Macaca fascicularis: one gene and its partners. The protein of the gene in region 3 interacts with the protein of the main gene of each other region in a biochemical or structural test. Links are inferred from orthologs where the notes say so. Each region holds a gene or a part of one and is shown on either strand. Other genes may lie near its edges. The genes, in order: CRKL, PTPN1, BCAR1, PTPN12 and CRK.

Region 1 (6,424 bases), on a different chromosome or scaffold from region 3:
AGGAAAATGAAAAACTAAATTAAAGCAACAGGCCTGAGGCAGAGGGCACAGAGAAGGAGAAACAAAGCTGAACGTGTGGGGGAGGGTCAGAGAAAGGCCCTATCATCTGTGAAGGGACTGGAACAACAGGTAGGATTTCAACAGATGGAGAGCGAGGTGTAGTTAAGGCAGTCAATGAAGAGCCAACAGCTGGAGCAAAGGTGCAAAGGTACAAAGGTATGAGTAAGGAAGGATGGCTACCAGGGAATAAGTGAGCAGCCTAGTAGAGCTGCAGTAAAGGAAGGACGAGAGGAGGCAAAAACAGAATTACATGCTTGTTCTCTAAGAAGACACATGCATGTATGGAAAATTTGGAGGCGATTCTGTGGATAGACAGAAGCAGCATACTTCTTTTCCTCCCTCTAGAAAGAGATTCAAGCCATTAACTCACTTTTTTTCTTTCTTTTTTCTTTTTTTTTTTTTTTTTTTTGAGACAGAGCCTCACTCTGTCGCCGGGCTGTGCAGTGGCGCGATGTCGGCTCACTGCAACCTCCGCCTCCCGTGTTCAAGCAATTCTCCTACCTCAGCCTCCCCAGGAGCTGGGATAACAGATGCCCGCCACTACGCCCAGCAAATATTTTGTATTTGTAGTAGAGACGGGGTTTCACCATGTTGGTCAGGCTGGTCTCGAACTCCTGACCTCGTGATTTGCCTGGCTCGGCTTCCCAAAATGCTGGGATTACTGGCGTGAGCTACCACACCCCGCCATTAACTCGCTTTTTGAAACAGCTGTATTATTAGTATTCATCACCTCAACGTAAGTACATGCATGGCTTAATGAATGCCTGGTATTAATTATATAATTCACTCTCACAAACGAGATGAATAATTTATTCAATCATACTACAAATCTCACTACAGTGGGTTCTAAGATTCTCAACCCCTTAAATTGGAATTATATTGTGCTCAAAGTTGACTGCAACTACCAGCATCTGCCAGGAACCGCATGTTTCACCAATCAGATTCTTGGTGTCCTGGTCTTTGTTATACAGTATTTGATTTATAATCACTTTCTGCCCACTTTTAAAGTCCATTTAGTTCAGTAGTTAATCTTAAAGTCATTATACTATCATGGCTTCTTTTTCTATCTCTATCTCACTATGCAAACAGTTCGTGTCCTTAATTATAATAGCTTTTAATGTTTAAAGTTTAGAGTAATACCCGGTCGACAAATCCATAAAGTCATAAACATTTAACCCTGGAAAAACTGCATCAACACCCAATCCTTTTAAAACAGATGTTTAAGAAATGAACTGGCCAGTTTGTTACTTTAAAAATTCTAGGCAACTTTTCAACTCAAATTTGGGATAATTTAAATAAAAGAAACCTCTGATAAAATCAAAGTGTTACAGGGCAAACACAACAATAAAAACAAATCTTTGTTAAAATGCTTAAGGCAAATTAAAGCAACTAATCAATTAAAATAATGTATTTCACTTGGAAAAGAGACTACTTGGTCACTTTGCATTAATTTAAAAATAAGAGATACTAAGTCATTAGACTTAACACAAAAAGCACGTCTGAAATTGAACTAGGATACAACTCAGTGTAATTCAAAAATTTTCCTTAATAACATTTTAGCCTAATTCCACCTTGGAAATTAATCAGACTAATCTCTGGCCTACTAATGGTCCTTGGGGAGAAAATATTAAATACATTTTCCAAAAATATCCTCGCTGAAGCCAATGCACCTTATCTTTGTGATTAACGTACTATAAAAGTGGTGGTGTCTGGCCTGCTTCAAACTTGGCACCACAGTATCAAATATATAGTTTTGATATTTTGGTTTCATTTTGTCGACTGTTACAAAGGCTGCAGTCCTGGAGTTAACCTGGAGTTCAGAGATTTGGAGGGAGTACAAGAACCTGGGATAGTGTGCAAACTTGTGTGTACGTGCCTTTGGCGAGGAGGGGTGGGGCTTGGGTGGTGAGTGCTCGGCTATCTCCAGATTCTCAAAGAAGTCTATGGCTAAAAACGGTTTTTGGCCGGGTGCGGTGGCTCATGCCTGTAATCCCAGCATTTTGGGAGACCAAGGCAGGGGGATCATGAGGTCAAGAGATCGGGACCATCCCGGCCAAAATGGTGAAACACCGTCTCTACTAAAAATACAAAAATTAGCTGGGCGTGGTGGCGTGAGCCTGTAGTCCCAGCTACTCGGGAGGCTGAGGCAGGAGAATAGCTTGAACCTGGGAGGCCCTCGGAGGTGGCATTGAGCCGGGATCGCACCACTGCACTTCAGCCTGGCGACTCCGTCTCAAAAAAAAGGTTTTTAGGAAAACCAGCAAATCCCTGCATCAGTATTACACCCAGAGAAAGTCACGAAAGGCAAAAAGCGTGCATTTTATGCCACCCCCGTTAAACATTTAAAACGCATCCTCCTGACATTGAGAAACAGCCTCATGAGGAAAACACAAAAAACAAAAACGCATCCTCTTATCCAGTGACCTAGATCCTGACACTAGCTTTCCATTAGGAAGGCCTTCTGGAAAATAATTTGGTTCAGAATGGGGGGAATATGGGTTCAAGCGCGCCCCACCTCCCTACACAAACACCCTTCGACCGACCCGGTTATCGACCTTCCTCCGCGGTCGGGGCGGGCTCTCGCGTACCTGGGCGCGGGTTCGATGAGAGTGGTGGTGTCCAGGTAGTGGATCTTGTAAAACTCCAACAGGGCCGGCAAATGGTCAAACTCCTGGTCCCCGATCTTAAAACGGCGGTTGGGCAGCGAGTTGATGATGTAGTGGGAGACCCGCGAGTTCTCGGACACCGACAGCACATAGTCCCCAGGGCAGGTGGAAGAATCGCGGACGAGGAACATACCGTGGCGCTGGCCCTGGAGCCGGGTCTGCGCCTCCTGGCGAGACACCGGCCCCATGTACCAGGCGGAGCGGTCCGAGGAGTCGAACCTGGCAGAGGACATGGTGTCGGGCCGGGGACTCTGCGGCGGTAGGGGCGGCGGCTGTCCTCGCCTGCTCTGCACGCCTTAGCCCGGCAGACGGCTTTGGGGCCGAGGAAGGGCCTCTCGCACACCTCGAGGAGCGCTCAGAGGGCTGGGCCAGCACTTTCCTCTCGGCTCCAGGCCCGCAGCATCCTCCAACGTCGCCCGCCTGCTCCGGGGCCGCCTCACGGAGAGCCGCCCGGGAATGCAGGGCAGAGCCGGGGGGTCAGGGCACGCAAAGCCGAGCCGCAGCTGAGGCCACCCCGGGGTTCTCGGGCTGCTCGGCGTCCCAGGGGTGCCTCCAGTGACTCCCGGCCTGGAACGCGCCGGCGTCGCAGCTCCACGGGTCTTCACCGACCCCCGCCGTCACACGAGGCACCGAACTCGAAGGAGCGTCGCGCCTCCGGGGTGGTTTTGCCCAGCTCGTTCCCAATAGCTACAGCAACAAAATGGCGGACGCGGGAGAAGCGGCAGCCACCTCCCCCTGCGCTCAGCGCGCTCCGTCTGCGCACGCGCGGAGCCCCGGCTCCCGGCGGCCGCCGGGGCCCTTCCGTGGCGTCACACAATGCTGCCAATGAGGAGCACCGTCACGACGATCTGGGTGGGCGCTGGTCGCGCCCGCTCCCGCGTTCCGGGAGGAGGCTGAAGAGGCGCCGGCGGTAGGCACTCTCTTCCTGGGCCGCTGCGCGCCGCTGGGGGCGCTGCGGCTGCCGGGTCTCCCAGCGCTGGCAGGAAAACAGCTGGAGCCGAGAGGGAGCGGCGTGTCGAAAACCTGCTTCTGGGAACAAAGCGTAACGTGCAGGCCGAATCGCGGGCCAGGGAGGCGTGGCACTGAGGCGACCTGGCCAGCCTAGGGGCCTGAGGGAGCTCAAGAAGTGACAGGTCACGATGGGCCGAGGTGGCCCAGTAAAGGGATGACCCCAGGGGCAGATGTGACTACCAGATAGGTGACTGAATGACTCAGTCCCCAGGTGGCTTGATAGGCTAAGGAAGCCCTAGTGGCTACGTGACCCGCTAAATGGAGAGAGAGGAGAGAGAAGGTGGGGGTTAGATTGACTCAATTAAGTAGTCAAGGCAGGCCACAATTGGGTAACCTGGCCATCCAGGGCTTTGAACTGTTGAAGGTAAAATGCAAACGCCTCTCGGGCGTGGCCCGGAGGCTTCGCCTGCCCTGGATTATGCCTGCTTCTCCCTATTTATTAATCCCTATTTGTTTTTGTTGTTTTCTATTTTTATTTATTTATTTATTTATTTATTTATTTTGAGACGGAGTCTCGCTCTATCCACAGGTTGGAGTGCAGGGGCGCGATCTCGGCTCACTGCAACCTCCGCCTGCCGGGTTCAGGCGATTCTCCTGCCTCAGCCTCCCGAGTAGCTGGGATTACAGCCATCCGCAGCCATGCCCTGCTAATTTTTGTATTTTTAGTAGAGACGGGGTTTCACCATGTTGGCCAGGCTGGTCTCAAACTCCTGACCTCAGGTGATCTGCTTGCCTCAGCTTCCCAAAGTGCTAGGATTACAGGCGTGAGCCACCGTGCCCGGCCTGTTTGTTTTATTTTGTTTTTGAGACAGGTTCTCCTTCTGTCACCCAGGTTGGAGTGCAGTGGAACTATCATGGCTCACTGCAGCCTTGATTTCTGCATCTCAAGGGATCCTCCCACCTCAGCCTTCCGAGTAGCTGGGACTACAGGCTCACGCTGCCATGCCCAGTTAATTTTTTTTTATTTTTAATAGAGACGAAATCTCACTATGTTGCCCAGGCTCGTCTCAGACTCCTGAGCTCAAACAATCCTCCCCCTCAGCCAAGATGTGAGGCGCCCGGCCCAGCTATGTATGAAATAAGCTAATATATGCAAAGTGCTTAGAATAGTACCTGGCACATAAGCATCATATGAGTCTTCCATTATTATTATTCACTCGTTCCCTGGGCCTGTACCTTTATAGCCTAAAACCCTGAGCATACCCTCGGTGGGTGAGGGAGGAGAGAAAAATCTCCACTTCGTTTTCTAACTGCTTTTCACTGTCAGATTTACCATTTAATAATCACCTGCTCCTTGCCCAGCGTTTTTTCTGTTTTTTTGTTTTGTTTTGTGACCGACTCTCGCTCTGTAGCCCAGGCTGGAGGAGTGTAGTGGCGCAATCTCGGCTCAGTGCAACCTCTGCCTCCTGGGTCCAGGTTCAAGCAATTCTCCTGCCTCAGCCTGCCGGGTAGGTGGGATTACAGGCACGCACTACCATGCGCAGCTAATTTTTATATTTTTGGTAGAGACAGGGTTTCACCATGTTGACCAGGCTGGTCTTGAACTCCTGATGTCATTATCCACCCACCTCAGCCTCCCAAAGTGCTGGGATTACAGGCGTGAGCCACTACCTGTAATCCCAGTGGTGACTTAAAATTATTTAATTTTTTGTAGAGATGAGGTCTCACTGTATTGCCCAGGCTAGTCTGGAACTGCTGGGCTCAAGTGATCCTCCCAGCTTGGCTTCCCAAAGTGTTGGGATTACAGGCGAGAGCCACTCGCCCAGCTACTCAACCAAATCTGACTTCCACCCATGCTTTGACTGAATTAGGCTTTTTGGGGTTTGTATTTATTTATTTATTTATTGAGACGGAGTCTCGCTCTGTTGCCCAGGCTGAAGTGCAGTGGCGCGATCTCAGCTCACTGCAAGCTCCGCCTCCCGGGTTCACGCCATTCTCCTGCCTCAGCCTCCGGAGTAGCTGGGACTACAGGCGCCCGCCACCATGCCCGGCTAATTTTTTGTATTTTTGGTAGAGACAGGGTTTCACCATGTTAGCCAGAATGGTCTTGATCTCCTGACCTTGTGATCCGCCTGCCTCGGCCTCCCAAAGTGCTGGAATTACAGGCGTGAGCCACCGCGCCCAGCCTTGTTTTGTTTTTAAAGACAGGTCTCTCTGTTGCTGACTCTGGTCTCAAATTCACAGGCTCAAGTAGCCCTCCTGCCTCAGCCTCCAAAGTAGCTGGGATTACAGATGTGAGCCACAGCAACCCACTCTCTGCCCTCTAAGTGTAGAGCCTCCTTCACCTCTCTATAATTTTTCCTTTAGTAGGCTAATAATCATCATGAAGCATTCAGGGGTCACATCTCTGGTGACTCCAAACACATTCTAAAAGCAGAACCAAAACTGACCATACTCTCTGATTACTATGTATACACTGTGGTCACAGCCTAAATTAATTTTTATTGCATTCTTTTGTAATTGTTTATAAATATTTTTCTCATCCCAATCTGAGCATCTTGAGGGCAGGCTGCTGTATATTATTTTTTCTGTTCCCAGTACCTAGCACATAATACATACTATTTTTTTTTTTGAGACGGGGTCTTACTCTGCCGCCCAGGCTGGAGTGTAGTGGCGTGATCTCGGCTCACTGCAACCTCTGCCTCTCTGGTTCAACCAATTCTTCCTGCCTCAGCCTCCTGAGTAGC
Region 2 (5,784 bases), on a different chromosome or scaffold from region 3:
GCCTATTACCTCCACATCAGAACCTGTCACGTCCTCATGTCCTTGGCCAGCATCACTTCTCATGGTTTCCATTCTCATCTATTTTCATCTAAGCTCCATTTCTTGTTTTTTTTTTTAGACAGAGTCTCGCTCTGTCACCCAGGCTGGAGTGCAGTGGCGCAATCCTGGCTCACTGCAACCTCTGCCTCCCGGGTTCAAGTGATTCTCCTGTCTCAGTCTCCTGAGTAGCTGGGATTACAGGTGCACACCACCACACCCGGCTAATTTCTGTATTTTTAGTAGAGACGGGGTTTTACCATGTTGGCCAGGCTGGCCTCAAACTCCTGACCCAAGTGATCCGCCCGCCTCAGCCTCCCAAAGTGCTGGAATTACAGGTGTGAGCCACCACACCCAGCCCATAAACTCCTTATTCTTAAAATCTTCTCCCTTTAAGTCCCATCACACTTGGCTCAACCATGCTAGCCCTCAGTGTCCTCTCACTTTTTTTCCTGAGCTCATCTTGAACTTACTGCCTGAACAAGACAAGTCAGCACTCCCTGTGCTGAAGGGACTTAGAGAAAAGCAGGCCACATTTAACTCTTCCCTCCCCAGTGAACAGAAAAACAGCTCCTGGCAGTCAGAAATCCCGTGGCACATGGCTGATGACCTGGGCCTTGCATTCTCCACCCTGGCGTGAAGACTCCAGTCACTGCAGCTCTCCACTACTCCCTTCGTGTCTTCCCCAACTCCCAACACCACCCCCGTTTAGAATGGTCTGAAGGATCACAATCCCCTAAGATCTGCAAAGACACACACCACACTTAGCTGACACTGCACGGGGGAGGTGAAGGAGGACCCCTTGGACATTATTCTCTGCTCTTCTATACTTCCGACTTTTAAAAAATGAGAAGACAGACTTGTATTATTACATAATGATGTAATATAATGAAAAAAAATGGGAAGGGTGTTCTTGGTTTGGGCACTAGTAAAATGTTTCAGTCATAGTGTCCAGGGGTGATACTTTGGGGTCGGGCTGCCTCGACTCCCTTAGTAAATCCCCAGGGCAAAGGGAAACTGTGTAAACAGTTTCTCGACATCCCCAGTGTCACCTCACAAACCAGACAGAACTTCCCATGTCCCAAGGAAGTGCTAGGATGCGGGGTAGGCAGGACAGTAGCACAAGTGTACATGGCATTTGCTAATGCAACACTTGACATGATACACCCAATAACAGGTATTTAAAGGGCTTCCTGACTCCACACCAGAGTTGAAGGGCTGAAATCAGGAAGCAGGAAATTTGACTTCTCCAAAAAGCAAAGTCCCCAAGAAGTCACTTTTGCCTCAACCTCATCCCCAGACCTCTCCCTCCTTATCAACCCCCTCCCCCATAAGCCTCCCCTAAATACCCCAATGGTGCTGGGAGGACCAGGAGCTCAGGGTCTGGTAAAGGCCTGCCCTGTATTCATGTACCAAGAACTTACTCAATGGCCCCACAGGACTGAACACAGCTGGGCTGATGCTCTACATCCCAGATGACGAGAGGCATCTGGGCTGATTTTGGTCATAAATGGGGAGCAACTGGGACAAGACAAAAAGGCAGTGAAGAAAGGCCTCAGTTGAACGCACCCTGACCTAGCTCCTTGCTCAAAGCAGCCTTTCTTCATACAGCATTCTGGCTTCCCCAGAATTTTCATTTCCAAATTATTAAGCAAAATTACAATGTTCGAAATCACCCTATGGCCTAAAGCCATATAAAACTAAAAGCTGACATGGAATGAGAAAACAAAAATTATGATGAAAAACAAAACAAGAAACTCAGTCTTTTTAGACCAACTTACAGGTAACAAGTTAAGACTTGAGAAGATTAATTAAAAAGCAACTCTTTTTATCCTCTTTCCCAGATACCCTTTTGGTCACAAGCCACTGAGTGTTTTACAAGAGGCTCAATTATTAAACCACTTTCAGGATTTTGTTTCCATAAAGATGCCAAAAGCCAACAGAAATTTTAAGTCATTTTTCATGCTTGTTCACATGATCTAATGATGCCTTTCTTCTGGGCCAAAGAATGAGAACCATGGCGAGCTACTCTGAATGGCTCTGGACAGAGATTCCTGGTCTACTGCTAACGTTCTTAGATTTGCCATCACAAGTGCTTGATGCTCTACGACAAATACTTCTGGAAGCAACACAGGTACAGACCCTCCTCCAGCCATGACTGCTGCCTCTGCCAACAGACCACAGGCAACTCTGGCATTTTAATGTTGTTTTTTATAAGCTCTCATTTCCAGCAATGCCATCTTACACTTCCCAGAAAAGATTAGTGTTCCTTACAACCAAACTGAACCTGTGAAGGAAGACTTTCCCCCTTCCTTGTTGCTTTTTGGTTTGCTGAAAACCTGACCTTCTAAAGGATGTGGCAGATTTTATTTGAGGTGTGGATAACAGCACTCTCAAACTCTTAAATTGACATAAAAAAAAAAATTCAGACAATCTGCTTACCTGGGTAAGGATGTAACTCCTTTGGGCTTCTTCCATTTTTATCAAACTAGCGTTGATATAGTCGTTATCTTCTTGATGTAGTTTAATCCGACTATGGTCAACTGAAAGGCAAACCAGAACTCAGAGGTTAAACCCGGAAAAGCTGAATGTGTCCATGCAAGTGCATACCCTACAGAAAAGCAAAGGTGAGTTGGTGGCATTGGGGCATTCACACTGGCTGAAGCCCTGTTTTAGCTGAGATTAGTCATCAGTATGGGGCGACTGGGATTTTCTGAAAGAGTTTTCAGAAGTGTTTGAAACTTCACACTATGAAGCAACAGCGGTAAGCCATATTACAATATGGATCATGTCCTATCTGGGAAATCTGTTCTCAGGTCATATCTTGTTATGACACTTATTACTCTCCCCTCAAACCTTCCAGGACCAGAGGAGGGCATCAAAGGATCTGTTCTCTGATGTGTAACTTTTTTTTTTTTTTTTTTTTGAGTCCGAGTCTTGCTCTGTCACCCAGGCTGGAGTGCAGTGGCATGTTCTCAGCTCACGGCAGCCTCCGTCTCCCGGGTTCAAGTGATTCTCCTGCCTCAGTCTCCCGAGTAGCTGGGATTACAGGCACAGGCCACCATGCCCACCTAATTTTTGTATTTTTAGTAGAGATGGGGTTTCACCATGTTGGTCAGGCTGGTCTCGAATTCCTGGCCTCAAGTGATCCACCCACCTCAGCCTCCCAAAGTGCTGGGATTTCAAGTGTGAGCCACCCATGCCTGGCCGACATAAACTCTTAGAGAGCAAAAAATATGGTGGCTTCAATCTTTAAAAGGGAACAAAATCCACCATAAATTCCACCTAGTCCCTACAGCTGTTGCTAGTACAATGAGCTACAGTAGGTAGGATTTAAGATCGAACTTCAACCTCACCTCTGTCCAGTAGTTTCAAGATTAAATAACCTAAGTACACAGCAGCATGAAGTCATACCTTGACCTTTATACAAGGTTTTTTTTTTTTTTTTTAAGTTCAAGTATAATGAACTTCAATGATTCTAAATTTTTAAAATTCAGAGCATATCACAAAGACATTTGAAAGAGAATTTAAACCCAAACACTGAAAGCATATTAAATGTACCTTTTGGTTTTTAGAAATAAACTCTCATTTGGAAGTTCTGCCCCAGATCACTAAAAGAAAAAAGCCACTTTTTTTCTTGTATCATTTGTTTGTCACAAAAGCAGTAGCTCCCTGAGGGCCACTTTCCTTATCCTGTTAGTAGAGCTAATAAGAGCAGGTGGGGACCTTTATTTCTGGCACAGCACAAGGGACAATAAACTCAGGTGACCACCCATAAATAGTACCTTCTCCCTGCGTCCAAAGGGGAAAGGAGACATGAATGGGGATAAGTGGTCTGGGGCTTTTTGTTCTAAAGGAGGATTCCAAAGAGAGATGTCTTTGAGAACCAGCCACCATCTGGAATACTGTTTCTCATTATGGACGCTTAGTACAAATAAAGATACTTGGATAATTTTTAAGTGGATCATAGAGATAAAAGACCTCAAAAAATTATGTAATGGTATTGGTGGGTTATGTGAGTGGGTTCAAACAGCACTGGGTGACTCTGGGCAAACAACTCACCTCAGAGCCTTGGTTTTTTTAACTTGCTAAACGGTAGGTGACAAGAGGGTTGTGGGAAGAGTCAATGAGCTGAGGTGTATACAGAGCCTCGTTCAGCAAGTGCCTGTAACTGTGGACTGCTGTCATCACCAGCAGCACCGTGAGCTGGGCAGCAGGTGACCTTCTACCTTGACTCATTCTTCCCCATAACCTTCACAGCAAATGACTGTTTCTACTGGAGGATAGGAGTAGGGGAGAAAGATAAGACGAGTGGGATTGGGAGTGAAAAAGCTGGAGAATTGTTTCCCTGGAAGAATTTTTATTTTTTATTTTTTTGGCTAGTCAAGTAAAGCAGTGGGGATGGAGAAGGAACAAAGAAATCTGTAACTGGTTGTGATCATATAGTTGTAAACACTACTGTACTTGGACCAGCCCCTGGAAGAATATTTTTTAAACTGTTTTTTTTCTCTGTAAAACTGATTCATAAAACCATTTAGATAAGAAATGTTAAAAAATGTAGCAAAGGAATATTAAAGACAAGATTATTCCCTAATTAGAGCAAGTACAGCAAAAGCTAGAGACCCAGGGTATCCTGGCACCATGTGAAAGAGGTGAACGGTGATGGTTCTGTTGCGTTCTGATCAGCGGTCTGGAGGTTTCTGGCAGGACTTCACAGCAGAATCCTCAAGGCTTTTTCTTTTTGTTTTTAAACAAATATCAATGAGGTGCCTCAGCTGAGACGTGCTAAATCAAGAGTACCATGTGTTGGCGCCAATCATGTCACCTGATGACCTAGAAGTGCACTTCAGATGTTGGTGACAACCATCCCCACCACCGACAACATTTATTGAGCACTTATGTCTGCGTGAGGTACTGGGCGCTGGGCTAAGCGGTTTATGTTGCCTCATCTTCACACACTCCTATGAGAGAGAACAACCTGCCCAAAGCCACTCAGCTCTAAGTGGCAGAGCTGACACACAAAACCAGGCAGGGAACCATGGTGGCAAGCCAAGAGGCACACGTTCTACACCAAGTCTAAGTCCATTTTTAGACCCCTTCCAGGAATCTGGGCGCCACCTAAGTCAGATCAGGATGCACTGCTAACCCTTCTGGCAGAGAACAATGACAGCCACCACTCCCAGCCATGGGCACAGGACCTGCAGGAAGTGCTCACTGGAGGAATGACTGGATAATCTTCTACATCCCTGGCAGAGCATACTACCACGGAGACATTGGCAGCTATGACCCCTCACTGCCTGACAATGTCTAAAGACCTGGAGGGGGTTCAAAAAAGCCTCTGTGGCCTAGAGGAGATGGCGCAGTTCACGTCCTGTACTCATTCCAGTTTTCCTTGCTTTATGCAAATCCTAACATGTTAAGTTATTTACTTTTCAGCTACCGGCAGATTGACAGCCAATCACTCAGAAGGCGGACAGGGCTGCCACAGGCCAGCAGGCACACTGACAATCTTAGGAAGAACTAACAGCAGGAAAGAGGGAGAAAAATGACGAGGTTGGCAGGGGTGGAGGCAGTGGGGACTCCAAGCAGAGATGCCTTGCATATTCAGTGCAGGGGACAACAGTGCCCACCCCTGAAGGCCTGTGTGGGGCTTCACTACAGCTGAACACAGTGCTTGTGCTCTAATGACGCTACTGCTGAGTCATCCAGAAAAGCTTTTATTATGCCTGCTATCCTCTGCTTCAGCTG
Region 3 (6,367 bases):
TCCACCAGGGCTGGGCAGGCAGGCCCTGAGAAACAGAGCGGCTGGGACCAGGGCTGCGGGTGGCACACGTCAGGGAGAGCTGCAGCCGTCGGATGGGTGTTGGGTTCTCCTCATTGGCTCTGCCAGCTGCCTTGGGAGCCCTGGACATGCTGTGGCTGTCCCCAGACTCTGACTCTGGGTTGGGGGGAAGCTGGTGTCGGGGAGTGGTAAGGGGAGATGCTGCTGCTCCAAGGAGCCTTCCCTGGTTGCCTGAAGGGACAACCGAGGAGTTCTCAGGAGCAGGGCCAGCCCGAGCCAACTGCACAGAACACTGCAGGTATCACCGCTGACCAAAACCCTCTCTGCCAGGCCTGGCTCACATCTGGCCTGCACCCTTTCACCCAGCAAATGTGACTTCAGCACAGCACGCACAAGCCAGCACAAGGTGGGAGCTGGGAGAAAACGGCAAGAACTCCTGGTCTCTGCCCAAGACCCCGGGGTTGGGAGCAGACAAGGAAACGGGTAACACGACCACAGTTGTCACTAGGTTCACAACAGTAAGAACAGCACAGTTCCTCCCTGCCAGAGGCAGAGCTCTTTCCCTCACAGCCACCAGCTCATTTAACCCTCAAAACAACCCCATAAGACAGAAATACCTGCATCTTACTAGACAGGAAAACCAAGGCTCAGAAGCTCCCTGACAGTCCAGGGTCACTGAGTCCAGAAGCAGCAGAGGCCAACCCCAGGCTGAGACACAGTAGAGCTGGGTCGCTCCACTTTATCTCCACCCAGGGGTGATGCCTGGGTTCGTGGAAACCACGAGAGGAAATGTCACGGGCCTTTCCCACCCCTCCTGTCCACACCCCCAACACACACATGCACCCGCCCCAGCACAGAGCCTCACACACAGCAGGCACTTGGGAAACACTGCTTTCTTTCATACCCAGAACCGTCACAAACTTGGGCCAAGTTTATTTCTGGAGCATTCTATTTGCTTGTCCCAAAGAGCCTCCATGGCCAACGGATGCAGGCCCAATGAGCGTGCGCCCAACTGGCCATCCGCACCCGGGACCCACCTGGAGGGGTCCTGATCACCCCACTTGGCCCTGGCCTCAGGCTCTGAGGGGCACCTCCTCTTCCCTCCTCCATGTCCCCATCCTGGGTGGAACTCCAGGACCTGCCAGTTTAGTGGCATCTTCCCCTAATACTCCCACAGACAACTGGGTGGCCAGGGTCTGGGCTCAAGTCCTGGGTGCCCAGGTGGCAGGCAGCAAGGGCGTGGGCAGATCACATAGCCTATGCGTGGGGCCCACATTCCAGAGCCACCCCAGGGGAGCATGGCTCCTGTCCTGCCGGCCTTAGTAGGGCGTGAAACCTCGGAGAGGATGAGGCAGGGAAGGCGTGCAGGCCCTCAGCCCCACGCGTGACACTCAGCAGCAGGAGGGAATAAAAAGACACCTGTGGGGTGGCCACTGCCAAGGGTGCCCTGACACAAGCACAGAGCACAGCCTGGCTTTCGTTGCAGCGCCACAGCAGATGCCTTTATGCCCAGGCCAGCTATGGTCTGGAAGCACGCCCCAGCCCCTACTCCTGCCAGGGCATCCCAGGCACTGTCCCTAAGAGGCTGGGCAGAGGAGGTGGCATGGGGAGGGCCCTCCTGCTTCAGGACATGGAATCTGCAACCCAAAACACCCCACGGACAGTGGGGACGGCTGGCAGGCCCCAGGCCTGTACCCCTGCAGGCAGGATCAGCGGGGTTCACTCAAGTGGACTTGCTGGAGCTCATGCTTGTGATCCGGACTTTTGGCAGAGAGTTCAGTGTGAGGCTGACCCCTGACTTCAGAGACAGCAACAGGCCCAGAATAGGGGTAGCTCCCACCTTCAACCCCAACTGAGTCATCAAGGAGGCTGGACCCGCCCCTTCACCCTACTTCTGCCCCAGACTAGCACCTAGAGGTGGGAGGAAGTCAGGGCAGCAAGATGCAGATGGAGCCAGGGCCTCTCCTGTGCTCAGAGGGCCAGGAAGGGCCTGACAGAGGGCAGTGCCCCGCCCTCTTACAGGGAGACCACCCTGCAGCCCCTTTTTTGGGGGCTGAAGAAGAGGCTTGCCCAGTGTCTTTGCTGGAGAAACATCCCTATCACCCAACTCCACGCCCCACACTTCAAGTCTGACTCCAATACTGCCTCCTCCAAGAAGCCCCCCTGGAGCGCACCTCCCCTGCTGGTTGGTTCTAGCTGCTTCAGCTGGCTGTGGGCTCCTGAGGTCAAGGGAAGAAGTTGTCCAGGCTCAGGAGAAAAGGGTGGTAGGACCCACTAAAGGGACAGTAGATGCCAGCAGAGGGCCACAAAGGCACAGCCTTGGAACCAGAGGGTCCCTACCAAGTTGATAATCCCAAAAGAGCATGGTGGTCCCCCAAGGACCAGAGCTTCCTCAATCCCAGACTGGGAATTCAGAAGCCACATGTGGTGCTGCACTGGGGGCCATGTCAGGAGACCAGGTTCTGGATCCAGTTCTGAGGACAACTCACTGTCTCTCTGTACCTCAGTGTCCCCATCTGCACCATCCGTATAATGGGAAAGGGGCTTGAAGAGCTGTCTCAGGGCCCTTCCTGCACAGACAGGAGGCCCTAGTGGCACTGTCCTTATTTCCATTCTTTGCCCAGACCTGGGGCCATGGTACCAGTCCATAGGGCTCACCCTCCTGCTCCGACAAACAGTAACGGCCAGAAGCTCCAAGCCTCCTGCCCCAGCCCAAGGTGACTTTCCTGGCAGAACCTGGAACTGCCCTGCCCTGCCTCCACCCAGCTCCCAAGCAAGCAGTGCCAGCAGGAAGCGTCAGCAGCTCCTCCCCAAAGCTCCTTTCCCCACAGCCCCGCCGCCCCGGTACCTGGGCCCCGATTCTCCAGGCACCCCGACACCTGCTCTCACAGGCCAGCCAGTCCCCACCACCCAACTCTCCACCGAAGGAAAGGAATGAGCACAAGAGGGGGCGTGCCCCGGCCCAGGGCCATGGGAAACATCTCACCTGGCCGAATCCAGTAAGGAAATCAACCCATGGTCATTCTGAGGTGACCAAAAAAGCAGCGAGACCCAGGAGGAGTGCGGGAAAGGACACCAGGGACTCTTAAGAGGGAACGGGAGCCTTGTGGTGGGAAAAGGAGCTGCTGTTCCCGATAGGAACCCAAAACCCCATCTTCCGGGTCGTAAGCCCCTCACCACGCACCCCTAGGCAAATCTCAGCTTTCCCAGCTCCCTCACCTCGGCCCAGCGATCAGCCTCTCTGACCCTCGAGAGGCAGCCCCGCCCCTGCTCTAGCTCTGTGGGTCCCCCAACCATGGACTCCAAAGCCTTCACGTTCACATTGTAGAACCCGGCCCCGGCCCACTCCCGCGACTCTCGTGTGCAGCTAGGACTCCTGTAGCCAGCCAGAACTCGGCTTCCACCGGCGCTCGGCGTGCAGGGCTGCAAAGCCCGCGGCGCGCCCGCCCCCACCCCCGCTCCGCTCCCGGAACCCAGCGCCGGCGGCCGGAGTGAATCATTAACCGGACCCGGGTGCTCCGGCCGCACAGCCTTCCCCGCTGGCGCCAAGCACTTGCCCGCCCGGCCTCGGTCCCCCGGAGCTCCTCCCTCTCCGGGAGCGGTGGGCAGTCCCACGCCACACCAGACGGACCACCCGCCCGAGACTCAACGGTCCCTCCTCGCAGCGGAGGAAACAGGCTCGGAGGCAGGGCGCAGAGGCCCAAGGTGACACAGCAGGCGGCCGCCGGCCGGGGAGCGCGGGCCCCGCCAGTCACTTTCCCGACACAGGCATCTTCCTGCCGGTTGGCGGCCCCCGTGCCCGGCCCCGCCAACGCCCCCGAAGCGCGCAGGCTCCGGAGCCCCCGCGGTTCCTGCCTCCCGGCTCCCCGACCAGGGCGCAAGGAGGTCCCGGGGCCGCGGATCCCGGTCGGCGGTTCCCAGGCCCCGCAGGTCCGGCAGGAAATGCCGCTCACTTAACCCCTTCCAGCCCGCGCCAGACCCGGAGCCGGCAGGGCTACCGCCTCGAAGCCCAGACGCGGCCCGGCCCCGCCTGCCGCCCTCACCAGGTGGTTCATGGTGTCCAGCGGGCCTGGGGCCCCGGCTCCCGCGGTGGCGCACACCGAGCTGCTCTGGCCGCGTGCCCTCGGGGCTCCGAGAGCGCCGCAGCTGCCACCTCGGCCACCCAGAGCCGGTCCAGCCGCGATCCGCCAGCCGCCGCGGCCCAGCCGGCCCAGCCCGATCCCAGCATGCCCAGCCGCGCGCGCCCATTGGCCGCCGCCGCTCTCCATGCAAATGAGCCGCCTGTCAGGGGCGCGGGCGCGCAGACAGAAGCCCGCCCAGTAGGTGCCGCCCCCCGCCCCGCCCCCCACCTCCCACCCCGAGGCTCCAGGCACCCGGCCGAGGCCAGGCTTCCAGCCTAGAGCGCAGGACACCGCTCTCCAACAAATCCAAGTCCCCGCCTTCCACCCGGGCGAGAACGCACCGAAGGCCTATGCAAATGCCTCCACTTCTGGGAAGGCTGCCCGGATTGCCTTCCTCCTCCAGAGCCGAGCCACGGCGTCAAGTCGACTTCTGTCTTTCCCGCTAACCAACCCCAGGGCATTCATCGCGTGTCGATGGGCCGTGGGACTCAGATCTGAATCTAGTGGGAAAGGGGAGGGGGCGTGCGCCAGCCTGCAGAAGAATCACCACCACCACAGCTCCGACTGTAGACGGTCCCACCGTGTAAAGACCCTGGAAATGAAGCCTCAAGCAAGGAGGCTGGAGAGCTCTCAATCCAGCACTTTTCACGGGCAGCACCTATCTTCCCCTGAATTGTGCCGACATCTGGGGACTCCAGCTGAGTTGATCTGCCTCCTCTCATTACTCATTCCTAGGCTCAGCCTAAAACCTGGGCCCAGTACCCTCTTGAGTCCTGCTCCAACTCATCTGCTTCAGCGACCTGGGGTAGGAGGGCGGCACTGGGGGAATGAGGGAGGCAGAAGGAAGAATCACCCAGGGGAAACGGAGTGGAGACAACCTTGGCTGTCCTGAGTTGCCCCTTGCTCGGTTGCAGGTCAGTGACTGTCACCCCCTGCAGCAAAACCACGGTGCCAGAGCCCCTGGGCCTGGCCAGGGATGTACAACCTGCAGTAAGAACGTAAGACGAGCCTGGTCCAGACCAGACAGGACCCTCAGTCAACAATCCTGGGCCACTGGCTGAGCAAGGGGATGCCATGAGGCAGCTCTAGTGGCAGGGAAGCAGTGGGGTGGACCCGGCTTCCCACAGCAGAGAATTCTCAAGCGTGGCCTATGACAGACATAAGCCTAGGTGGGCCTGCAGCTGCCCCTCTGCCTGACACCCAAGGCTCAGCCTACACAGCACCTGGCGAGATGTGCCGCCTTGGCAGACCCTCTCCCCTCTCTGGGCTCCTTTCTCATCTGAAAAGGGGCTAGGGCAGCCCAGGTTTGGCTGCTCAGGTGCTCTGGGGAGCTTGTTTAAAAGCAGACTCCTGCGTCCCACCCCTCCCAAAAAACTGGATGTCTGCATTTCCTCAATATTTGGCTTGGGAACCACTGGCCAGAACTCACAGCACAGCGGGTGAGGAAGGACCAGTGGGATGGGACACAGCGTGACCCAGAGTCCTCAGGAGGAACAGAACAGCTCGCCAACACCCTATGCCTCTGGACACAGCCCACCTCACCTCAGAAGAGGAGCCAGCCTTCAGGGAGGCTGCCTGGAGCATCTCCTCCTGCTTGTTCCCAAGAGCTGTGCCTGGCCCCTCCTGCACTGACCCTGTCCAGCCACCCACTCCTCAGCCTGACTGGCACACAAACCAGCTTCCTAGAGAGCAGGTCTGAACCAGCGGGACCCTCAGGAGCCTCAGGTGATCCCTGGGCCTCCACTTCTGTGGGAAGGGGAGACCAGGCCTCATGGGCAGGCAGTGCCCTGCTGGCAGGGCTCCAGGCAGGAGTCTGCAGGGATGGGCAGGGACACAAAAGGCCTGGCCCTCAAGGGAGCCGGCCCCTGCTCCATCCTAGTTGGCCAAGGAGAGGGGTGCAGAGAGGAGGTGGATGGCTGGGACCCTGAGGGATGGGGCCCTCCTCCCCCAGGAGCTGGATTAGAGCAGCACTGGGGGTGGGGCTGCTGGTGTGAGCGGGAGGCAGCAAAGGGAACAGGCTCCGACACAGGCATTTCAAAAATTTGCTCGTTTTCCACTTAAATTCCCTCCCCCCAAAGCCTGTGCCTCCCAGAATGGCATTTCCGCTTTGGAAACAAGGCCCCAGGAGTTAAGCCCCACTGTGTTGAAGGGGATGTAGCTGGGGGGTGGGGAAGGAGCACCCACTGGGCAGGCTCTGGCTGGGGTATATGGGGGCAGAACCTACCCCA
Region 4 (4,710 bases), on a different chromosome or scaffold from region 3:
TGCCTCTCCTCTTTGTCTCTATTGCACATTATGCATAATTTTATTTAAAAGCTTATCACACTGCTATAATAATTAATATATCTCTCTGTGTCTCCTACTAGACCAGGGTTTGGCATTGCACGGCCTATAGCCCTAATGTTTGTTATGCCCTTGAGCTAAACCAATGGCTTTTATGTTTTTAAAGAGTTGTTTAAAAAGAAGAACAATGAAGCTAACAAAACCAAAGAAGAGTTTGTGGCAGTGATCTTAAGTGATTTGCAAGACCTAAACTACTTATTTTCTATTTTATTGTTCTCTAGCTTTATTTTCTTTAAGAAGTTTGTGGGGCCTGGTGTGGTGACTCATGCCTGTAATCCCAACACTTTGGGAGGCCGAGGCAGGCAGTCACAAGATCAGGAGTTCAAGACCAGCCTAGCCAACATGACAAAACCGCAACTCTACTAAAAATACAAAAATGTGGCGAGCACCTGTAATCCCAGCTGCTTGGGAGGCTGAGGCAGGAAAATCACTTGAACCGGGAGGTGGAGGTTGCACTGAGCTGAGATTGTGCCATTGCACTCTAGCCTGGGTGACAAGAGCAAGACTCCATCTCAAAAAAAAAAAAAAAAAAAGTCTGTGGGCTCCTTTCCAGACTGTAAGCATCTTGAGGATGGGGATTGTCTGTTATTTTACTTGTATTCCAAGTTTCCAGAAAGGTTCCTCATGGAGGTATGGGGTATGTTCAAGACTGTGAAAGAATGAATGAATTATAGTAGTTAATTTCTTTTGTTACTAATGTTGAACATTGGTAATTAAAGAGTGAACTACAATCTAAACAACATAAAACTTTAAAAGTAGTTAGATCTGGCGTCGTGGCTCACACCTATAATCCCAGCACTTTGGGAGGCCAAGGCGGGCGATGACCTGAGGTCAGGAGTTTGAAACCAGCCTTGAGCAACATGGTTAAACCCCATCTCTACTTAAAATAAAAAAGTAGCTGGGCATCATGGCTGCCGCCTGTAATCCCAGTTACTAGGGAGATTGAGGCAGGAGAATCCCTTGAACCCAGGAGGCGGAGGTTGCAGTGAGCTGAGATTGCGCCATTGTACTCCAACCTGGGCAACAAGAGGGAAACTCTGTCTAAAAAAAAAGTTGCGTTGTTATTTCAGGTGGAAATATTTCATTAATTAACCTTGACCTTGTTGATTTCTTTTTTTTTTTTTTTTTTTTTTGAGATGGAGTCTCGCTCTGTCGCCTCGGCTGGAATGCAATGGCACGATCTTGGGTCACTGCAAGCTCTGCCTCCTGGGTTCACGCCATTCTTCTGCCTTGGCCTCCCGAATAGCTGGGACTACAGTCGCTCGCCACCATGCCCAGCTAACTTTTTTGTATTTTTTTAGTAGGGATGGGGTTTCACCGTGTTAGTCAGGATGGTCTCAATCTCCTGACCTCGTGATCCACCCGCCTCAACCTCCCAAAGTGCTGGGATTACAGGTGTGAGCCACCGCTCCTGGACTGACCTTGTTGATTTCCATACAAAGGCATTTCAGTTGCAATTATTCCCTTAGAACATAGGCATATAGTATAGCTACCTTAAGGGAATGTAATATGTCAAGACCTAGATTTAGGAAATAAAAATAATGAGAATCCTCACGTTGCAGAAGTACTCACTGCAGATTTCTGTGTGACCACAATAATACCTGACATGATTTTCTGTGCTCACTACGTTTGTATTTATACTGATCTTGACCTATAAAATTATGGTGCCCAGGAGAGAAAATTTTCTCTTTTCATGCTTGCCAACATTTAAAAAATTAAAGAGTTGTATATATACGATGCTACAAAGCATGGTGATTAACAAAGGTTTTGTGTTGCTATTTAGATCATCCAGCGGGAGGTATTCACTACGAGATGTGTACAGAATGTCCACCTACTTTCAGTGACAAGAGAGAACAAACATCAGAAAGTCCAACAGAAGCCACAGATATTGGTAATTTCTTTAATAAATAATTTTTAGTAAGTAGTTAACACTGGCAAGAATGAGAAAAGCTCATTTGCCATTGTGAAGTGACACTTGCCAAGAATAAAGTATATGATTTTCCAAAGTTGCTTGAACTAGTCATGAAATAAATGAAGCACTTAATTCTATTTCACATTGAGATTAAAAACTAAAATAGAAAACTGCAGTATATTAAAAAAATCTTTTGTGTTGGACAGACTAAATTATCTTGGATGTTTTTCTTACATTGTGATAAAATTGGTTTATTTTCAGCATAAGATTTTTAAAAGAAGCAATCATTTTCAGTTACCCCAGATAAATTTACAATCGTTTTGCATTTACAGAGTTTTGTTTGGCTTAAATTCTAAATTCCCTTGTGGAAATTTATTTGTTCCAGAAAATCAGAATGTCTGTGGACATGGTTTTTAGTAGTTTAAAAGTATTTCTGAACACTGACTAGTTACTGTGGTATTTTCACTGTAGGTTTTGGTAATCGATGTGGAAAACCCAAAGGACCCAGAGATCCACCTTCAGAATGGACATGATTCAGGGAGCTAAAAGACACTTTTAAGTTATACTGGAAAATTCAGGTGCCACTGAAAGCCAGATTTATAGTATTCCATCTTTAATATGTGGGACTAACAGCAGTGTAGATTGTTACTTTAATATTTTTTGCTGGGACCATCTACCTGCCTTATACTATACTTAGGAAAAAGTATTACATATGGTTTATTTTGAAACTTCAAGTATTATTGCCTTAACGTCTCTTAACCCTGTTACACGCTGCTTGTAGACATGTTAATATAGTAATACTTTTATGATATATTGAGTTTAAGGACTACTCTTTTTCTGTTTTATCATGTATGCATTATTTTGTATATGTACAGGGCAAGTAGGTATATAATTTGATAAAGTTGCAATCGAAATATTATTAACAGAAGATGTAAGAAATTTCTGCATGGTCTAAATCTTTGTGTACTTTATTTGTAAATTATTTGCCCTGGAGTTTTAGAAAATAGTTTCTGAATTTTAAACTTGCTGGATTCATGCAGCCAGCTTTGCAGGTTATCAGAGATCAAAGATTGTAATAATAATACATTTTGTAAATTGTAAGCAAAGTTATTTTTATATTATATACAGTCTAATTGTTCATCCTAATTGTTCTTGTTTTCATCTAGTCAGAGATTCAGTAAGTGCCTTGGAACAATATTGAATTCTCTTAGCTTGTGTGTGTTTCTTTAATATTTGAACTCAACTGGGATTAGAAGACTATCAAAATACATGTATGTTTCAGGATATTTGACCTGCCATTAAAAAAACAAACAATTTTACAGCGCCTACTTGTTGCCTTGGCTTTTCATTTTTCATTCCTAGGAAATTGGACTTAACTATCAGCCTTCTTGCTGGCTCAGTCTTGGTAGGAAATGAATGTGAATGGGGTTTAATCTCTTTTTTTTTTCTTTTTTTAGACAGTATCACTCTGTCACCCAGGCTGGAGTACAGTGGTGCCATCTCGGCTCACTGCAACCTCCACTTCCCAGGTTCAAGTGATTCTCCTGCCTCAGCCTCCCAAGTAGCTGGGATTACAGGCACCCGCCACCACGCCCAGCTAATTTTTATATTTTCAGTAGAGATGGTTTCACTGTGTTGGCCAGGCTGGTCTCAAACTCCTGAACTCAGGTGATCCGCCCACCTTGGCCTCCCAAAGTGCTGGGATTACAGGCATGAGTCACCATGCCAGGCCTAATCTCTTAATTAGGGAATAGCGAGTACCTTCTGCCAAAAACATGGCTGTGCCAATTCTAAATACTTATTGCCCCTAGGCATTCCTCATCCTTATCATTACTAGCCTACCAAAGTCCTAGTAGAAAGCCCAACAGAGGGGGCCAGATGGGGTGGCTCACGCCTGTTATTCCAGCTCTTTGGGAGGCCAAGGAGGGCAGATCACTTGAGGTCAGGAGTTCAAGACCAGCTTGGCCAACATGGTGAAACCCCTTCTCTACTAAAATTACAAAAAAATTAGCTGGGTGTGGTGGCACATATCTGGAATCCCAGCTACTAAAGAGGCTGAGGCAGGAGAATTGCTTGAACCTAGGAGATGGAGGTTGCAGTGAGCCAAGATTGCACCACGGCACTCTGGTCTGGGCAACAGAGCAAGACTACATCTCAAAAAAAAAAAAGAAAAGAAAAAGAAAACCAAACCAAGGGGATGTTGGGAACGAAAACTGGTTTCTTATCCCAAGACTGGAGCACAGATTCCATTCCTCAGTACTAAGTCTGAATTTTGACAACTGTAGATTGGAGTTGTTGGATGTCTGTATTTTCCCTCTGCATATGAAAGAATGAAGAAATTATGAAACTAAAGTACATGGAAAACCTTATATGAGTAGAAGGGGGATTATTGTGGAGGAGAAAGTAATACTACAATTTCTTGTTAAATTTGTTTTAAAGCTAACTCATCTTCATGTTGATCCCTTAGATTTCTTTTTTTTTTTGAGACGGAACTTTGCTCTTGTTGCCCACGCTGGAGTACGATGGTGTGATCTTGGCTCACTACAACCTCTGCCTCCTGGGTTCAAGCAATTCTCCTGCCTCAGCCTCCTTAGTAGCCGGGCTTCCAGGTGCCCACCACCAAGCCCAGCTAATTATTTTTGTATTTTTAGTAGAGATGGTGTTTTGCTATGTTGGCCAGGCTGATTTTGAACTCCTGACCTCAGGTGTACCCGCCTCAG
Region 5 (6,576 bases), on a different chromosome or scaffold from region 3:
AATAAACATTAGTTATTAATATTGTATACGCCTCTTTAAAATTCAAGAAATTTCTCTGTGTGACTTCAAAAGGACTTGGTGAGAGGAAAAACAAAGATTCAGTACTTAGCACTTGAGATTTGAGGTACAAAGCACTTAGCACTTGAGGTACAAAGTAATTCTGAGGTTATACAGACAGGCCGGGTGCGGTGGCTCAGGCCCAGCACTTTGGGAGGCCGAGGCGGGTGGATCATCAGAGTTCAGCAGTTCCAGACCAGCCTGGCCAACATGGCGAAACCCCATCTCTACTAAAAAATACAAAAATTAGCTGAGCATGGTGGTGGGCCTCTATAATTCCAGCTACTCAGGAGGGTGAGGCAGGAGAATTGTTTGAACCTGGGAGACGGAGATTGCAGTGAGTCAGTATCACGCCATTGCACTCTGGCGTGGGAGACAAGAGTAAAAACTCTGCCTCGGCCGGGCGCGGTGGCTCAAGCCTGTAATCCCAGCACTTTGGGAGGCCGAGACGGGCGGATCACGAGGTCAGGAGATCGAGACCATCCTGGCTAACACGGTGAAACCCCGTCTCTATTAAGAAATACAAAAAACTAGCCGGGCGAGGCGGCGGGCGCCTGTAGTCCCAGCTACTTGGGAGGCTGAGGCTGGAGAATGGCGTGAACCCGGGAGGCGGAGCTTGCAGTGAGCTGAGATCCGGCCACTGCACTCCAGCCTGGGCGGCAGAGCCAGACTCTGTCTCAAAAAAAAAAAAAAAAAAAAAAAAAAACTCTGCCTCAAAAAACAAACAAACAAACAAACAAGACAGCAACTGAGCCAGGCACAGTGGCTCACACCTGCAATTCCAGCACTTTGGGAGTCTGAAGCGGGAGGATCTCTTGAGACCAAGAATTTGAGACTAGCCTGGACAACACAGTGAAACCCCTCATCTCCACAAAAAAAAGTTAAACAGTTAACCAGGCATGGTGGATATGCCTGTAGTCCCAGCTGCTCAGGAGGCTAAAGTGGGAGGATGGCTTGAGCCCGGGAGGTCAAGGCTGCAGTGAGCTGTGTTCATGCCACTGCACTCCAGCTTGAGAGACAAAGGCCCTGTCTCAGAAGAGAGAAAAGACAGCAACTGAATCGTAGAAAATGGGGTACAATATGGCAGAATTATCACAACACTCGTGAATATTCCACACCCCATCCACAAACTTTGGCAATCTTCACCTTCTTTCCTGGGCCAAGGAACTGAGTTCTTATCTGTTTTGAAAAGGTGGTGCTCCATTATCCAAGTAAGGCTTGAGATATAAAAATCGTTATGCTAAGATGTGAAAAAATATCAAGCTAACAAACCTGCCGGCTGCCATTTTCAACTCTGGCAACCAACAAACACAAACAAAAGGCTGAAAAGTGAGTTTCAGTAAGTTTGCCATCATGTTACTACATATAATGCAAAACCCCAGATACCACGCAGGTGGCATCAAAGTAGCATATATCTGGTTCAGGGCCAACACAGGTACATCAATATTCCCATCTCATAACACCATTAAACTGGCCAGAATGAGAAAGATCTACAATAATTTGTGAACTTATAGACCCCATACTCATTTTCTAAAAATAGTTATGTGTTGGGCTGGGTGTGGTGGCTCACACCTGTAATCCCAGCACTTTGGGAGGCTGAGGCGGGCGGATCACCTGAGGTCAGGAGTTCGAGACCAGCCTGGTCAACATGGTGAAACCCCATCTCTACTAAAAATACAAAAACTAGCCAGGCATGGTGGCGTGTGCCTGTAATCCCAGCTACTAGGGAGGCTGAAGCAAGAGAATCCTTTGAACCCACGACGTAGAGATTGCAGTGAGCTGAGATCACACCACTGAACTCCAGCCTGGGCAACAAAAGTGAAACTCCGCCTCAAACAAACAAAGCTGGGTGCGGTGGCTCACACCCGTAATCCCAGCACTTTGAGGGGGCAAAGGCGAGTGGATTACCTGAGGTCAGGAGTTCAAGACCCACCTGGTCAACCTGGTAAAACCCCATCTCTACTAAAAATACAAAAATTAGATGGGCGTGGTGACAGGCACTGGTAATCCCAGCTACTTAGGAGGCTGAGGCAGGAGAATCACTTGAACCCAAAAGGCGGAGGTTGCAGTGAGCCAAGATGGCGCCACTGCACTCCAGCCTGGGTGACAGAGAGAGACTCTGTCTCAAAATAAATAAATAATAAATAAATAAATAAAATAAGAAAAAAATTGGTTATGTGTTGGCCAGGCACGGTGGCTCATACCTGTAATCCCAGCATTTTGGGAGGGTGGATCACCTGAGGTCAGGAGTTTGAGACCAGCCTGGCCAATCTGGTGAAATCTTGTCTCTACTAGAAATACAACATTAGCTGGTTGTGGTGGTGGGTGCCTGTAATCCCAGCTACTCGGGAGACTGAGGCAGGAGAATCTTGAACCCGGGAGCCCCGGGGAGGTGGAGGTGGCCATGAGCCGAGATCGTGCTACTGCGCTCCAGCATGGGCGACAGAGCGAGACTCCGTCTCAGGAAAAAGTAAAATAAAAATTGGTATGTGTTAATAACAAAGAGACTGGCTATTCAATTCTCCATTTCTGGCCGGAACAAGTAAATCTAAATTAGAACGATCCTACAAGAGAAAGTCTAGAGAGGATGGCTCAGGAGCTTCCTGATTCATAGGAGACTAGTCTGAACCCAGTCTCAGCGGCCAAGAAGAAACAGCTTCGACTTGGCAACAGTGTGAAGGCACGAGGACTCCTGATGCTGTTAAACAGGTACACATACAATGAGAACCCCAGAATTACTTCGTACCTCACAAATCTCCAGTACTAAGGGCATCTATCTATTCCCTTGAAACACTCCCAAATCAACTCCAACGGCATCGGAAAGACAGTCAATCTCAGGGATCCCTGGCAAGAAAAACCCAGCGCAGGTAATTTATGTTCTTGGCGTAGAGTCTGTTCCCAGCATCCAGGAAGACTCAGCCCGCAGCCCCATCTTACTGAGCAAGGTCACGCCCTGAAGTACACACTGACAATGTTTAAGTCCAAGGAAAATGAAGCTCCAGTCACATCCAGGGAAGGGTCTGTTTCCACTGCCTCATTTCTGGTTTATTCTCTGGAATAAAATGTCTTTCCTCCACTAAACACTTTGAAAACCAGAACCCTCTACCGGCGGACAGTCTTCTGGACGCTTAGATGTCCTGCACGCAGCCAGGCATCGCCTTAAACTGGGTTGGGCTGGTCACTGAAGGCTTTCTTCTATCACTTAATTCACCACCTTCGTCCTCCACGGGGGAAGAGGACGGTACAAGGATTTTGGAAAAATGCCCAAGAAAGGAAAAAACTAACCGGTTTCCTGAGGGTGTCTCCATCCCTCCCGGCCAGTTTGTGGTGACTTCCTACCAAAGGCCACCAGGGGAGCACGGCCAAACCCGGCTCTCCAACACGGCAGGAAACGCTTCCAGCCCAAAAGCCACTTGTAGGATTATCGGATTCATTCTGGGCGCCGCTGCCAAGTGATGCCCCCGCAGTGCCAACATCTCCCTCAGCTCTTTGTCCCCACGTTGCCTTGCCCTGCCCTACCCTTGCGCCTGGCCCGGGAGCCAGCCCCACCCTGGGGCCGAAGCAGTTCCCCTTCCCCGGGGCTGCCCTTCCCAGGCACACCCCGGGGCCTCGGTCCGCGGCTCCTCCTCCCCCACACTCCTGTTCCCCGGGTGGGAATGAGCCCCAGCAGCCGGCGGGCCCCTGCCACGGTCACCCAGCCCTCTGCCCACGACCCCGAGGGTCCGCTCTCAAGGAGCAGCCAGCCGGGCTGGGAGCTCCGCGGCCCTCACCCCGCCCAGGGCCCCCCGTCCCGTCAGTCCCTCACCCGGCGGAGGTTGGGCGGGCGACGGCGGCACTGGCGGGCGCGGGCCGCTGCTGTTGATGATGTAGTGGGAGACGCGCGAGTTCTCTGAGACGCTGAGCACATAGTCCCCGGGGCTGGTGCTCGAGTCCCGCACCAGGAACACCCCGTGCCGCTGGCCCTGCAGCAGCGCCACCGCCTCCTGCCGACTCAACCGCCCCCAGTACCAGCTACTCCGCTCCTCCGAGTCGAAGTTGCCCGCCATGGCTGCCTCCGCGCCTAAACGCTGGGGTGCCGCCGCCGCGCGCGCCCCTCCGGCCCCCGGCGCCCGCCGCCCAGCGGACCGGCTCCGGTTTCAGCTTCACAGCAGCGCCCGAAATGGCGGCGGCAGCCGCGGGCCTTCCCCACCGGAAATGACGCGCTCCCTGCCCGAGGGAGGCTGCCGGGAAGGGGCCCGCGGCCCGCCATTGGGAGAAGGGCAAGGCGCCCTCGCGCGCGCACTGCGCATGCGGCCTCATGGGCGGTGCCGCCCTGCCCGGCCCGGGGATGAGGGGGATGGGAGGCGGGGTCTAGGGCCCGGGGGCGGGGCCTCGCGGCCTCCCGCAGAGACGTGCGCCTGCGCCGCCGACCGCGCGGTGCTGCTTCAGGCTCGCGTTCCCGGACTGCCCGGGACTTCTAGGCGGCGGCTCCCAGACAGGATTGCAGGAGAAAAGACGCGTGTGGCCCTGGGGCCTCAGTTCTCGGCCAGGCTTCCTGGGATATCAGTCTGTTTCTCTTTTCTTTTTCTTATTTTGTTTTTTCAGACGGTGTCTCTGTCGCCCAGACTGGAGTGCAGTGCCGCGATCTCGGCTCACCGCAACCTCCGCCTCCCGCGTTCAAGCGATTCTCCTGCCTCCGCCTCCCAAGTAGCTGGGATTACAGGCGAGCGCCACCACGCCTGGCTAATTTTTGTATTTTTAGTAGAGACGGGGGTTTCACCATGTTGGCCAGGCTGGTCTCGAACTCCTGACCTCGGGTGATCCACCCGCTTCGGTCTCCCAAAGTGCTGGGATTACAGGCGAGAAACATCGCTCCCGGCCATGTCGGTCTGTTTCTTCTCGTTCCTCTAGCTTCTCCACAGGCCGGCTGACGTTCTCATTTTCATTGATTCATTCAGGACATTGTTATGGACACTCCACCTGCACTGCGGGTGCAAAGGTGATGGATGCTGGGCCCTGCACTCCTCAAACTCACACACCAGTGAGAGGAACCAGGAAACTGCATGACAAAAGGATGACAAATGCTGACAAGCGCTATCATGGGAAACGGACATGAACACAGAGCAGAGCCCCCCTCCATCCAGTCTGCGGAGTAATCCAAGAGGGCTTCCCAGAGGAGGTAGCATGTGTTGACTGCTGAATGACAAAAGGGGAAGGACATTCAAAGCAAAGGGAGCAGAGTGTGCCAAGCCACGTGAAGTACAGAGTTCTCCTCTCTTTTGAGGCTTTGGGGTCACCTGCCCAGATACTTCTAAACACTAAATTGTAGCCAGGGGCATCTCCTACTTTCACTGCCGTCATGGTCACTCTGGACTGTGTTCCTATGAGTGGCTTGCTCGCTGGTGCCCTTTCGTCTGGTTGCCTCTAATTGCACTGCAAACAGCTCCCACTGAGTTTTCTAAAATACAGATCTGGCTGGGCACGGTGGCTCACGCCTGTAATCCCAACACTTTGGGAGGCTGAGGCAGGCGGATCACCTGAGGTCAGGAGTTCTAGACCAGGCTGACCAATATGGTGAAACCGCGTCTCTACTAATACAAAAATTAGCTGGGCGTGATAGTGGCTGCCTGTAATCCCAGCTACTCAGGAAGATGAGGCAGGAGAATCGCTTGAACCCGGGAGACAGAGGTTGCAGTGAGCTGAGATCCCACCATTACACTCCAGCCTGGGCGACAGAGGGAGATCCTGTCTCAAAAAAGTATATATGTATACAAATCTGAATGTGTTGCTACCTTGTGTAAAACGTTTAACAGTCTTCAGGTGTTCAAACTCCCAGGTTAGCTCAGAGCATAAAATTGAGCCATAGTCTCTCTTTTTTTTTTCAGATGGATTCTTGCTCTGACGCCCAGGCTGGAGTGCAGTGGTGCGATCACAGCTCACTGCAACCGCCACCTCCCGGGTTCAAGTGATTCTCCCTGCCTTAGCCTCCCAAGTAGCTGGGACTACAGGCGCCTGCCACCATGCCCAGCTAATAATGTTCGTATTTTTGGTCGAGACGAGGTTTCACCGTGTTAGCCAGGATGGTCTCCATCTCCCGACCTCGTGATCCGCCCACATCGGCCTCCCAGAGTGCTGGGATTACAGGCGAGAGCCACTGTGCCTGGCCTGGAATGCTCTTCTACCCACTTTGGAGTCTCAAATTCAAATGTCTTCCCTTTCTTTATGTTTTTGTTTTTTGAGATGGAGTCTCGCTCTGTCACCCAGGCTGGAGTGCAGTGGTGCCATCTTGGCTCACTGCAAGCTCCACCTCCTGGGTTCACGCCATTCTCCTGCCTCAGCCTCCCCAATAGGTGGGACTACAGGCGCCCGCCACCATGCCCGGCTAATGTTTTTTGTATTTTTTTTTTTTTAGTAGAGATGGGGTTTCACCGTGTTGGCTAGGATGGTCTCCATCTGCTGACGTCGTGATCCGCCCTCCTCGGCCTCCCAAATTGCTGGGATTACAGGCGTGAGCCACTGCGCCCGGCCCGAATGTCTCCC

Evidence for each region.
Region 1: the proteins of BCAR1 (region 3) and CRKL interact in a test that uses a peptide from one of them, tested with the Homo sapiens proteins (2 studies listed by BioGRID, with this or other methods). The link is inferred for Macaca fascicularis from reciprocal best matches to the Homo sapiens genes BCAR1 and CRKL.
Region 2: the proteins of BCAR1 (region 3) and PTPN1 form a complex in vitro, tested with the Homo sapiens proteins (3 studies listed by BioGRID and IntAct, with this or other methods). The link is inferred for Macaca fascicularis from reciprocal best matches to the Homo sapiens genes BCAR1 and PTPN1.
Region 4: the proteins of BCAR1 (region 3) and PTPN12 form a complex in vitro, tested with the Homo sapiens proteins (3 studies listed by BioGRID and IntAct, with this or other methods). The link is inferred for Macaca fascicularis from reciprocal best matches to the Homo sapiens genes BCAR1 and PTPN12.
Region 5: the proteins of BCAR1 (region 3) and CRK form a complex in vitro, tested with the Homo sapiens proteins (2 studies listed by BioGRID, with this or other methods). The link is inferred for Macaca fascicularis from reciprocal best matches to the Homo sapiens genes BCAR1 and CRK.

The regions. Positions count from the first base shown.
Region 1 is NC_088384.1:31,889,992-31,896,415, reverse strand, and holds the start of CRKL (crk-like protein), read right to left. Parts: upstream 3,486-6,424; 5' UTR 2,960-3,485; coding exon 2,649-2,959; intron 1-2,648. UniProt on the Homo sapiens protein: May mediate the transduction of intracellular signals.
Region 2 is NC_088384.1:106,661,095-106,666,878, reverse strand, and holds part of PTPN1 (tyrosine-protein phosphatase non-receptor type 1), read right to left. Parts: intron 2,580-5,784; coding exon 2,479-2,579; intron 1-2,478. UniProt on the Homo sapiens protein: Tyrosine-protein phosphatase which acts as a regulator of endoplasmic reticulum unfolded protein response. Mediates dephosphorylation of EIF2AK3/PERK; inactivating the protein kinase activity of EIF2AK3/PERK.
Region 3 is NC_088394.1:71,076,034-71,082,400, forward strand, and holds the start of BCAR1 (breast cancer anti-estrogen resistance protein 1), read right to left. Parts: upstream 4,217-6,367; 5' UTR 4,074-4,216; coding exon of another isoform or gene 4,062-4,073; 5' UTR 3,316-4,061; coding exon 3,238-3,315; intron 1-3,237. UniProt on the Homo sapiens protein: Docking protein which plays a central coordinating role for tyrosine kinase-based signaling related to cell adhesion. Implicated in induction of cell migration and cell branching. Involved in the BCAR3-mediated inhibition of TGFB signaling.
Region 4 is NC_088377.1:143,833,407-143,838,116, reverse strand, and holds the end of PTPN12 (tyrosine-protein phosphatase non-receptor type 12), read left to right. Parts: intron 1-1,861; coding exon 1,862-1,969; intron 1,970-2,461; coding exon 2,462-2,523; 3' UTR 2,524-3,316; downstream 3,317-4,710. UniProt on the Homo sapiens protein: Dephosphorylates a range of proteins, and thereby regulates cellular signaling cascades. Dephosphorylates cellular tyrosine kinases, such as ERBB2 and PTK2B/PYK2, and thereby regulates signaling via ERBB2 and PTK2B/PYK2.
Region 5 is NC_088390.1:1,561,213-1,567,788, forward strand, and holds the start of CRK (adapter molecule crk), read right to left. Parts: upstream 4,248-6,576; 5' UTR 4,104-4,247; coding exon 3,863-4,103; intron 1-3,862. UniProt on the Homo sapiens protein: Involved in cell branching and adhesion mediated by BCAR1-CRK-RAPGEF1 signaling and activation of RAP1.